3 linked regions of the Astyanax mexicanus genome follow. The main gene of each other region encodes a partner of the protein of the gene in region 3 in a complex. Links are inferred from orthologs where the notes say so. Each region holds a gene or a part of one and is shown on either strand. Other genes may lie near its edges.

Region 1 (4,122 bases), on a different chromosome or scaffold from region 3:
TTATGATTTCAGTTTTAATTTAATTCAAATGGTTTCTTCTCATTCAACGTGATTTATCTTTGAGTTTTTTTACATTGTAAATTCAATATTAAAAAGATAGTAAAGTTATACAGGAACACATGTGGAATTATTTGGCATACAAAATGTGTTGAACAAAATAGAATAAGTTTTTACGATAGACTCATCTAAAGCCCTATCCGGACAGTATTAGTTTCTCAGGGGGTTTCTGGGGGGATTTTCTCTTTTAATGGGGGCCTCTGTGATTTTATTGCTTAATTTCACTTTGGGTGCGCGTTTCAATGGAGATCTACGTAAACAAAAGAAAAAGTGGAAATGGAGAAGCTACTAAACACACACTTGACCAAGAAAGCCAAAAAAACTCACCTATTGTTTTAATTGCAGACCGGATGCAAGAGTTTTATCACGAGTACAAGTGTGAAGTATTTTTCACAGACGTCCCCCTAAGAAACTAATCCCATTCGGATAGGAATTAAGTAGCACATTTAGCTTTGAGGACAGATCTACACACTATTGTTTTTTCATGAGGGAGAGTCACCTGGAATAGTTTTCTCAGTATCTTGACAAAAGTTGCTCTCAATTTCATGGTTTAGATAAGGGGACTGTGGAGGATTTTTATGTATTTAATATTAATCTACAATGTAGAAAGAAAGAAATAAATGAAGAAAATATTTGAATGAGAAGGTGTGATTTTTTAAAACACTGTTTTAAAAAAACTGGCTGTGAAAAGAGAAAGACAGTACCAACAGAAGGCTTAGATGTTTCTAGAATTACCATAATTATGTAGTTAACAAACAGCAAGAGCTATTAAACACGTGTAGGTCCACTATATGACTTAAAAGGAAGCATATTCATAGTAATGGGTTCAATTTACCACTGTAAATAAACCCCAAGTTGGTTATACTGGCTGTTTAGCTTGTAGACCAACAAAAACACAAACCTTTTAATCTACTGACCAAAACTGGTCAACCAGTTTAACCAGCCTGACTCGCTTGAGCTAGCCATGATATTTTTTAGCTGGTTAAGAGCTGATTAACCAGTAAAGAGTGTGTTTATCTCTATATTCTCAGATTTTCAACTACTTTAAGCATATAAAACCAACTTACACATTGTAGCTAAACTAGCTAGCACCAGTTAGTTTAGATACAATTTAAGGTGGAACTTAAATTTTTAACAAATGTTTAAAGTACAGCCCAGAAGCGACGAATAAGGTAAACCTAGGTCTGTTTTTTTTATCCACTTTTAAACTCCTCAATATTTTATTTGCAGTATGTAGAACAGCTAACAAAATAACATACACTAAATTAAACAGCTCTGTAAACATGCAGTGAGGTGTAGCCTGAACGCTAAGCTAACGTTAGCTAGCTAAGCTAAGCTAGCTAGTTGACTAGCTTTCTAAAGGTGGACTGAGCGCTATACCCTTCACTTCTCTAATAAATCAGATTAAAAACCGGTTCTATTTATCCATATAAGCACGAAATTCTCGTTTAACTCGAATAAATTAGTTTATTACCTTCAGTTTCTGGAGTTCTACGACTTCAGCCATTTTTAGCTCCTTCTCCACTACAGGCTTCTCCCCTCTTCTGTGGCTCAGAGCGCGGTCAGTGCTGCAGCGCCGCCCTCAGACTGATTCACTTCAACTACAGGAGAGGGGTTTATTTAAATCAGACCAACGATTTTACTGACAATAAACTGGTTATACGGCTTATAATAATACACATGAAATTATTACAAATATAAATGAACATAAAGATTACTTTCAATAATACTATTTCTGTGGACTGGGCATAATAAATAACACAATAACAAAACAATTTACAACAGGCCCCATCTAAAACATCTAGCTCATGACCATTATAAATTAAAAATCAGAAATAAAATGATGGATGCCCACTATATATTCTGTACTGTTCTTTCATAGCTCCATACATATGGGCCACTCCACCAAGTAGGTGCCATTTCTGTCCTCAGGAAATTACGGAGACTGCAGTTTTAGGACCCTGCAGTTTCAGGACCGCAGTTCTAGAACCCTATGTTTTCGCGACACTGCCACCTAGCGAAAATAATGACTTACTACTCCTTAATATAATATCACAGATTCAAAGGCTTATTTCACACAAATATTACCAATTCAGCTAACTACTTACACTTTATTTCACCACTTTGTCTCAAAATTTGTCTTAGAACTCCCAACCACATTTTGATATGAGAGGACAAGCCTGAGAGGGGTATAGTAAGTGTAATATAGCTAAATATATTTATTTAGACAGTGGCCAGTACACTAAGCAACATACTTTGCAGCAAAGTGTAAATAAGGTATTGCTAAACAAACCACTAACTAGGTAGTATCTTGTCTATAATCGCACAGTCCCACAGCTAACTTGCAAGATAGGTAGCTATAATTAAGCTAACTAAGTTACTATCTCAGATTCTACAGTAGTAATTATCTTCCACACAGTCTGTCTGTATTTATAAATAATTGATCTAGTGTTCGTGTTTGAAGTGCTTTCTGAAATGAACAGAGGAGCTTTATTTATTTATTTATTTATTTAGTTTAAAAAGGTATATCTGGATATCTATCTTAATTTAATATTTTTACAAACCACAGAGCAAACCGTGGTTAAAGTGAGGATTTCTACACCGTTTAAGTGATATTACATGGCCACAGTGGTGAGGTAAATGCCCTGTTTTAAGCTGTTTTAAACTCACCTTCTCCACAGCAGCAGCGGTGGGGGCTGTGACTCGCGTTGAGCGGCTCTGGGCCGTGAGGCGCTACCTGTCACGTGATCTTCGGAGCGTGATGTGATTGGCTGGTTGTTGGCTCGATTGAAGACTGAATCGATTGCTCATCCTGTGTGTCCCGGATGTTGACAGCGAATTTTGAGCGTTGTATTTTAGCAGTCGAATTTGACAGGTCGAATTTGAGCAACCTGAATTTATTTTAATTGAATTTTTAAAACTTGAATTTTTGCTTTTGAATTTTTTTACATTAAAATAAAATAAGTGAAAATGATATACTGAAAAACTAAAGTGTTTAATTCAGAGGCAAAAAAATCACATGCAATAATTCAATGTAAAATAATTCAGTGCTAAAAATTCAAGTGCTTTTAAATTTCAAAATCTGGTGACACTGTTTTACTTCCATACCACGGCTCCTCTGATCCATGACCCCCACTGGGTGACTCCTGTGGGGTGTGGTGCCTGCAGCAGGGGTATGTTTTATTTAGTGCTGGTGTTTACAGTAAAGGGACGATCAAGAAAGCAGTGAATACATTCTCCAAAAAAAGTACAGTTTATTCAGTCTTTAATAATCTGTTTGTGTGTAGGGTGCAATAAAGAACTTTTAAAATATAAACTAAATAAACTGTATATATGTATACATACACACACACACAAAACAGAGACCATTAAAAATGATGAGTTTCTTTAATTTTACCAAATTGAAAGCCTCTGGAATATAATTAAAAGGAAGATGGACGATCAGAAGCCATCAAACCAAGCTGAACTGCTTGAATTTTTGCACTAGGAGTGGTGTAAAGTTATCCAAAAGCAGTGTGTAAGACCGGTGGAGGAGAACATGCCAAAATGCATGAAAACTGTGATAAAAAACAGGGTTATTCCACCAAATATTGAATTCTAAACTCGTAAAACTTTATGAATATAAACTTGTTTTCTTGCTTTATTTAAGGTCTGAAAGATTTGCATCTTTTTTGTTATTTTAGCCATTTCTCATTTTCTGCAAATAAATGCTCTAAATGACAATGCTTTTATTTGGAATTTCGGAGAAACTTTGTCCATATTTTATAGAATAAAACAACAATGTTAATTTTACTCAAACATGAACCTATAAATAGCTAAATCAGAGAAACTGATTCAGAAACTGAACTGGTTTCTTAATTTACCACAACAGTAAAACAAAATAAGTTATGCCTAATTCACGACATCTTCAGCCAGAAGCACAACTAGATATGAAATCAGTCATAACACGACTCTTCTGTGTTCTTACATGTCTGCAGTGTTGACATTTATGGAACTACTGAAGATATTTTTTGCCAAATAAAGGGCGATTCCATATTTTACAGAATGGGTGGCAATCCTAGCACA
Region 2 (4,122 bases), on a different chromosome or scaffold from region 3:
ACGATCCGTGCCCGAGCACGCTTTCGTCATCAACAGGCGACTTTTGTTTTGAAGAACAGTATGCGCGCGCAAAACAATGGAGTTCAGGATTGTACTGTTGTTTTTGTTTATCTGGAGTCGTTTTGGGCGTGCAAATACGCAACTGAACCAGAGATTCATTGATTGTGCAACACAACGATTTACTGCTAATCGTGCTGCACGTGTAAGAAGGTTTTTACACAAGCAGCAGACGTCCAGGGAGAAATTTGCAGCTTTACTCGCGGACTACAATTCACGTTCATCAGTAAGGTAAGAGACGTACTTGCTATATACATAAATAGTGACCAAAGGAGCGAAACATAAAACTCAAGTAATAATAAAATGTGTTTGTTGTTTAGGACTTGTAGATAGTAGTCCTAATTTATTATGGGTAACACTAACCATTATGGTGCTCTTTAGAACCCTTTTCAAAAATATTATATGCAGAATTGTGTATAAAACGTCCTCCGTTTACAGTAGCGTCGCATCACTGACGTCATCTTGATCCGTGCCCGGGCACGGTTTGCGCTCACACTGCATCTGTACCGTGCCCGGGTCCAAGTGAACCGTGCTTGGGCCCACCTCTCCAAGCGGGCCCGGGCACGGTTCGGAGCGATCACACTAGCCAAACGAACCGTGCTTTGGGAGGTAACCGTGCCCGGGCCCGGTTCGGATTGCCTAGTGTGAGTACACCCTTAATTTCACTACACTGTGTACCTGTACTCAGATATAATGACAATAAAAAACCTCTTGACTTGATTTGATCGAAGCAATATTTTTATTATTTTTAGTTAAAAATATTCATTTATTTTATTTTTCTTCCGGGCTTGTGTCTCATTGTGGAGAAGGTTCTCTACTAGATACTTCACAGTTTTTATTTAATCATAAAACAGACATGAAAAACCATAAATAAAGCCATGCAACAAAGAAAAAAAAGCATATTTAGTTCATTATATAAACATATATTTTATAAACACATAATTATAAGTAAATACAGTAAACAGCAAAATAAATATTGCAATATTACCATAGAGTTGTTTTTTATAGTGTATGCAGAATTACTTTATAAGATCATTTTCTCGAGCCCGACCCGAGAGGACCCGAGTTCGGTTCGGGTTCAGGCAGAAATCTAAACTCTAAATCAGAAACTCACGTTCCAGACAGGTGACTGAAGGCGCTGGTGAGGGGTTTACAGCTCCGAGCTCCCAGAGCACTTCCTGTACCCGCCTGCAGAGGAGATACACAACTTATATTTAATCATATATACATTAATAATACAATTATTAGACTTTTTTGTCCATTCAACGTCCACTTCATCCGCTTCTTTCACCCTGTCAATCATACAACACACATACATAACATGCATAATATCATTTCTGCTGATTTCAGTTTTACCCATTCTGTTATTACTCAGTGGGAGGAGCCCTTTACCTGGATAACACAGCGTGTAAACTTTCTTCTGCTTAAAAAACAGTGGAGTTATTTCATTTCTGTTTTAATAATTGAGATTATTTACCCATTTTTCATATTAATAATAATGGCAACCCATAAGAGCCCAAGCTATTTTCTGAATAATGAGGCTAAACTCAAAACTGATTCATGTTTACAGATCATTCATGTTTTTTTTTTGTTTTTTTGTAAAAACATGACTTAATGTTTTAAGGTAAAATTTTGTTGAAAGATAAATGACGCCAAATTCATAAATCATTTTGTTCTAAAAAATCAGGTCAGAATTAGTTATATGGAATGTAAAACAAAAAATAAAGCACTGAATGGTTGGCACAAACCTATAAAAACAACAGCAGAAAAACGTGTATAAACGTGCATCTGCAGTCATTTTCTGGCAAAAACATTTTTTTATTTTCTGGTAAAATTGGTTGGTAAAAGTTACCAACACTTTCAGCCATGACTGTAGTATGTATTTCACACGCTGACAGAGCTGGGCAAAAAGATAAAAATATATCACAATATTTAAGAACAGTTTTTAATGATACACAGCAATAATCATGTTTTGAGACGAAATCTAAATTAAGTAAAAGTGGTAGATTCTGCTATTCAGATATTCAAATGCTCTTTTATAATCAGTACAGTGATTATTATATTTTTGCTGTACATTATCCAATTAAATTGATATTTTTACAGTCTGTAATGAAATGTAGCTTCAGTTGGGACAGTGCACTTTAATTATTTATCATATTGTCGATATTCTTAAAAAAGGCATATCTATAAAAAAAAACAATCATTGATATTCTTAAAAAACATTATCACTGATTTTCCTAAAATAAAAAGAATTTTTTTTAAAAAAGTTATATCGTTGATGTTCTTTTAAAAAAAGAGCATATAACTTTAGTTGATTAAAATAAATCGTCTTTGTTTAAAAAAATATTTATATTCTAAAAAAAAAAACCCTACATAATCGATATTCTTTAAAAAAAAGCATATCGCCGATTTTCCTAAAAAAAAAAGCATATTGCTGATATTCTTTTAAAAATCGTCTATATTTAAAAAACTAATCAATATTTTTTTAAACAAACCCTAAAAACATCAACGATATTCTTTGAAAAAAAGCATATTGTCGAAATGATGAGAAAATTAATCACGATAGGATAAGAAATCGGTATATTGCTCAGCTCTATAAGTAATTCAGTTCAATAGCTTGAGTTTCCATAAACACTGAACATCTGAATCAGCAACGTTTCTTTGAATTACCCGTTCTACCTTAAATTGAGCATTAGCTGCTGTCTATCGCCTCTCAGCACTACAATGAAACAGCGACGGTATTTAAGGTGGACCGGAGAGTTACGCAGAAAAGCTACAGCCTCTCCATAAACACAGTGAAAAAACATGCCTTAATAAGGCGCTACCCGCCCAAACAGCACAGCTTTTTCATCTACAGCTGTTATAGAGTAAAACTGCACTAAAACTACAGTAAAAACGAGTCTAAAAGCGTGTTTTTACCGTGAGTTTCTCCCGCGCTTCCAGCAGGTTAAACACGCCGGGAGACATCTTTACCGCTACAGCCCTCCTTACTGCTACACATCCGGGTCATTTACTGCCTGCAAACCGCACCTCCACCAGCAGGGGGCGCCACCGGCCCGCCGAGAAAATTACACTTTACAAAATAAAAGTCATTGCTGGCTCTGAGAAAAAATGCTATCAGAAATTAGAAAAAAAAACAATTATCAAAAAATGAATTAATTTATATAAGAAGCATAGAACATGTAATGAGTTCATAACATATTTTGACGTAAAAAATAAAACAATATATAATAAGCGTAAAGAAATTTGACACACCTTAAATACATAAATTATTTTTTAATTATTTTAAATAGTTTTATATTGTTCTGCATTATATGTATATAGTACTAAACTCTTTCAAACTATGAAGAAAAACACCTACTACTACAACAAAAGGAAAACTAGATTAATTAAGAAATAAAACAATAATTCATTTAATTGAATGAATGAATAAAAAATAAATGTGTAATGAATTACATTTCTGTGAATAAATGATTAATAATAACATTAAAAAAGAAGTAGAAGAGGAAGAGGAAGAAGAAGAAGAAGAAGAAGAAGAAGCAGAAGAATGGGAAGTGAAAGATTTATTCAAATACAATTATTAATAATTAATTTAATCAATGAATGGGTGAGTGAATTAAGTATTGAATATATAAGTAAATGTGTAAATAAATTAGTTAATTAATTAATGAGCATTATATTAATATTAGATTAATGTAGAGATACATTACATTTAGAATAATGTAGATTTAATATAAATTATGAAACTGAACCAGTTTGTATTTATTGTTCTGGTTGGGAGTAAATATATGTGTGTGGTGGTGCTGATGTTTCTGATTACAGTAATAAAAGTCTCGGGTTTCTCCACTTTACAGTAATGGCTTATTCTGAGAGCTTGATTTGCATTAAAGTGTAAAATAATGACTTTTCCCATAAAACCCATTTAAACACTGAGCTGCTAATGACCTGCAGATCTGATTTCTGTACAGTGATCGCTCTGCTCTGTTCACTACAGACTCACCACAGACTCACTACTGCTAATGACCTACGGATCTGCTCTGTTCACTACAGACTCACTACAGATCA
Region 3 (4,122 bases):
TTTTACTCCTCGTCAAATCACTGTCCCAGCCACTTTATTCAGGAGCATAACACTACTTTAAATCTCCATTCCACCTTAAATACTGCTTGACCCCAAAGACAGGGTTTAGGGGTCTGAAGGAGACATGAGTGAGCCATAGTCAGGTTACGTACCCTGGCATTGTAGGCATCTAGCTGAGCGTCCAGTTCTTCTGCCGAGAGCTGCTGTTTGTTATTGCCTCTTCCACCTCCTCCTCTACCGCGGCCTCGGAGTCCTCCACCCCGACCTCCACGGCCTCGCTGTAAACCCCCGAAACCCCCGGTTCTGTTCCTGTTCATTCCTCCTCCTCCACCACCTCGATTCAAACTAAAATTGAAACAGAAATTATTAGGTGAACATAAATAAACCCTCACTAATTCAGACAGAGCAGGAGAACCTGTACTGACCCCTGCATCGGGGCTCGCCTCTGAGCGTCAATCTGTGATGTCACCAGCTGAATGTTCATTGGACGACCTGTGGAAAAAAATAATTACATTTAAAAACTTCGTAATAAGTGACAAGCGAATAAATCTGTAAAAGATTAGCAATTCCAACTAAACCCTACACCAACCATTTCTACCTTTGGGCAATAACACATCTGAACTCACTCAGAAGGAAGAAATGGCTGATTTAGGTTTAAGCTTCTCTGAAAAGGAACAAGTAGAATAAAATCAAAAAGCTCACCATCCAGTGGAACCCCATTGTACTGCTTCATAGCCTTCAGAGCGTCTGCTTTTCTCTCGAAGTGAACGTCTGCGGTGCCGAGGCTCCGCCCCGACCGGTCATAATGCACCGCAGCTTTCTTCAGAGTGCCGAATTCAGCGAAGAGTTCCTTCGGACAAAAACAAGCGAAGTCAGGATTCAAATCCAAGACTGTGCGTTTTAATACAGACCCCCCCCCCCAAATCTACTGCACCACTGTACCTGAATATCTGCGTCTGAGACGCCGAAGTCCAGATTGGACACCAGCAGTTTTCCTCCAGTCTCCACTCCAGCTCCGCCGCCGCCACCACCGCCACCTCCAGCACCGGCACTGTAGCCGTTATCGAACAGGTCATGCTGCCACTTGTCGGGGAGCTGCTTCGGCTGCAACAGACGAAAGAGAACGCACCTGCTGACTTCGGGTCCCGGCTGGCACTGACTGTCCACTCGGCAGGGTGCTGGGGCAAGCAGGGCCCCGCCTCAACCAGGCCAGCGCATCTGGCGCTCACCACGATTTCCAGCCACCCCTGCCCACCCCATCACTACACAAGTACGCCAGTGCAGGGAAAGGAGGCAACAGAGAAAACTACACACTGACTAAAACTGCAGTTTTAAACATTTTAAAAAGAGCCCTCAATAAACTCATACGTATGCAAAGAATAACTCAAACCAAATAAACAGATTAAAAAATGTAAGGCAGTTATAAGAACAGAACGTGACTTTTAAAAGTTATTGCCAAAACCAGTTGGCCCATGATTACGCCCCATTTTTGCCCACATGCTAGGCTACCATCAACATACAGGAAGCAGTTTTAGTCTAAAATAACCATTAAAAACAGTCCTAACCCAACTTTTAACTGTTACTCGTCAAAAACTGTGCCTTTACTACAGATTCACTGAACCATATAGCAACCAAAAGTACCATAAAATGATTTATACAGAAATACATTTTTTTTTTAGAAATCAAAAAGTCATTCAGGTTGTTTACGTAAAAGAGCAGATGTGGAAGTAAATAAGATGTGTTAGTAAAGAGCAGAACACCAGTTACTGCCAGCAAAAGAGTAAAAAATAATAAAATGATTAACTGACTAAGGTTTGCTAGTATTTCCAGGTAAATCTGTGGTAATATGCTAATCAGAATGTGTATATAACTGCAAACCAAACATTACTACTAGAAATTGTATTTATAATACAGATTGTGTTGGTGATTAATATCTGGATTGTGTTTTCTGATGTGATCTCAGGTTAAAACTGCTAAACTAACAAACCCCAGAGTCTTTAAATAAATCTCTGCAGGTCTTCAGAGTTCAGATCTCCAGAAGAAACAGGTGGTGGATTCAGCCAGTCCATCAAAAAATTAAAAATGGAGATAAAAATAGAGTCCAGTGCTGCCTGATTAAAGCTCTTGAGGAACTGAAGAGATCAGCGTCCATTTTGAGAGCACGCCATTTTGACTGAGCTAACTTTATATAAGTGTTTATATAATCTCCTATAAACTCTAAACCTGCAGCAGAGATTAACACAGATTTAGAGATTAAAGAGTCCATTCTTCATAAGGAGAATCCGCGGTGAATCTGATATTCAGGCTGAAATTAAAGCCGTTTCTCTTCATCAGACTCCGAACAAAAGATCCGCACTCTTCAGCTCCCGCAAAAAACACAAAACACCGCCGGTCTCCCCGCTGATCTCCGGGTCTCCAGACCCGCCTGGACGCTGAGAGCAGAACTCTGGAGGAGAATAAAGCAGCAGATCCTCCGCTTCTCCCTTTTTTCTCAATCACTTCTTCACTATTTCTCCATTTCACTGCGCCCCGCTGCTGCTGTTCCAAAATGGCGCCGGCCTGTGTGCCCTAGTTAGGGCGCTTTAGCCACGCTGGATCCGCTCAGCTAAACCCCGTGGGAGAACCGAGGTTTTGGTTTTGGGGGGGAAGAGAGAACAATAATGCACAACACATTTTATAGGAACATTTTTCCGGAGAGGCCCGGGTTCGGGCTGAGCTAGGCCCGGGCCCTGCGGCCGCTGCTGCGGATTCTCCTACCCTGCTGTACGGCGCGGGTCTGCCGCCTCTGCCGCGGCCCAGGCTCTGCCGGCTCCGCATGGGCCCCACCGCTCCTCCGCCCCGGCCTCCGAATCCTCCGGCACCGAGTCTCCCCACGCTGCCGCCGCGGCCCCCGCCGGCTCCCACTCCCCGGCCCCGGCCGCCTCTCCCCCCGCGGCCTCCGCCTCCACCACCGCCGCGCTGCTGCTTATTCTGCTTAATAATGTCATCCAGAGACATGTCCATCTTATCCGCCATGCTGACCCTGCGCTATACTTCTCTTATACTCCGCTATATACTACACTAATACTCAGCTATACTCCTGTATACACCGCAGTATAAACTCTATAATCACGCGCCGCTGATACCCGGATCTATCACCCGCGCGCCCCGCCGACCGGAAACTGCTCCCTGCCGCCCTCACGCGCTTATAAGCAAGGAGACAGTGACGCACTTCCGCACAACATTACTTCCGCCGCTGGGCGGAGACAACTCAACAACAACAAAGATACATATATGTATATACACACATATATAAATACCTCACTAAAACATCAGGCCTAAATCATTAATGCTTTAATTTCCTGTTTTTTAAACCAGTTAATTTATTTCTGTTTAATCTTAACTTTACTCCAACACTGTGACTAAAGTGCAGCAAATCTGACAATAAATAATCTCCAGTGTTTTACAGTTATTTAAACTTTCCCTTTTAATGAGTTCTACTAAGAGAAATCTATCAAAGTTTAAAAACTAACTTCCAACTACCAAAATTTTATCTAGTTTCCTTACTTTAATACATACACAGTGAATAAACATGGAACAGTTCAACAGCACTGGAACTGGGGAACTTTTTTTTACATTGTGAGACGTAACTTCTAAAAATCTAATAATTCAAATAAAGCAGGGGTATGAAAATGTTTTCATCGGTTTTAAAGGAAATAAACACAAATCATACAATGCAAGATTTTCACTAATGCTTTCTTAAAATTCTTTAATTTAAACCCAATATTAACACTAACACTATTCTATTAGAGAGCATATGCGCAATAATTCTGTACTAAATTTCCATAGCAATATTTATTATAGTATATATGTATCATAGTTCAGGTGAGAATTAGAGCTTTTGTGTTTCTGTGGACCAAACTGAATTCTCACAACCAGAGAAAAAAGCCCATTTGCTGTATTATTCTTATTATTGTTACTTTATTCACTTTAAGGTGTTTCAGATAGATGGACTGTTTTACACATCTTATTAAGGCGATCACTCAGAGACTCAGAAAGCCATTGACAATTGATCAGGTGAATGGTCAGCTATTCTCACCTGTGCTCAGGTGAAAAGCAGCCTATTGTTCTTCCAACTGCCTT

The links.
Region 1: alyref (region 3) and SAP domain-containing ribonucleoprotein share a complex: the UniProt entries of both Homo sapiens proteins name them as parts of the transcription/export (TREX) complex. The link is inferred for Astyanax mexicanus from reciprocal best matches to the Homo sapiens genes ALYREF and SARNP.
Region 2: alyref (region 3) and thoc1 share a complex: the UniProt entries of both Homo sapiens proteins name them as parts of the transcription/export (TREX) complex. The link is inferred for Astyanax mexicanus from reciprocal best matches to the Homo sapiens genes ALYREF and THOC1.

The regions. Positions count from the first base shown.
Region 1 is NC_064431.1:13,310,233-13,314,354, reverse strand, and holds the start of SAP domain-containing ribonucleoprotein, read right to left. Parts: upstream 2,809-4,122; 5' UTR 2,728-2,808; intron 1,982-2,727; exon of another isoform or gene 1,948-1,981; intron 1,659-1,947; 5' UTR 1,565-1,658; coding exon 1,532-1,564; intron 1-1,531. UniProt on the Homo sapiens protein: Binds both single-stranded and double-stranded DNA with higher affinity for the single-stranded form. Specifically binds to scaffold/matrix attachment region DNA. Also binds single-stranded RNA. Enhances RNA unwinding activity of DDX39A.
Region 2 is NC_064415.1:2,583,262-2,587,383, reverse strand, and holds the start of thoc1 (THO complex subunit 1), read right to left. Parts: upstream 3,076-4,122; 5' UTR 3,025-3,075; coding exon 2,977-3,024; intron 1,246-2,976; coding exon 1,172-1,245; intron 1-1,171. UniProt on the Homo sapiens protein: Component of the THO subcomplex of the TREX complex which is thought to couple mRNA transcription, processing and nuclear export, and which specifically associates with spliced mRNA and not with unspliced pre-mRNA.
Region 3 is NW_026040069.1:87,356-91,477, reverse strand, and holds the start of alyref (THO complex subunit 4), read right to left. Parts: upstream 3,181-4,122; 5' UTR 3,016-3,180; coding exon 2,758-3,015; intron 1,105-2,757; coding exon 943-1,104; intron 851-942; coding exon 703-850; intron 493-702; coding exon 426-492; intron 346-425; coding exon 153-345; intron 1-152. UniProt on the Homo sapiens protein: Functions as an mRNA export adapter; component of the transcription/export (TREX) complex which is thought to couple mRNA transcription, processing and nuclear export, and specifically associates with spliced mRNA and not with unspliced pre-mRNA.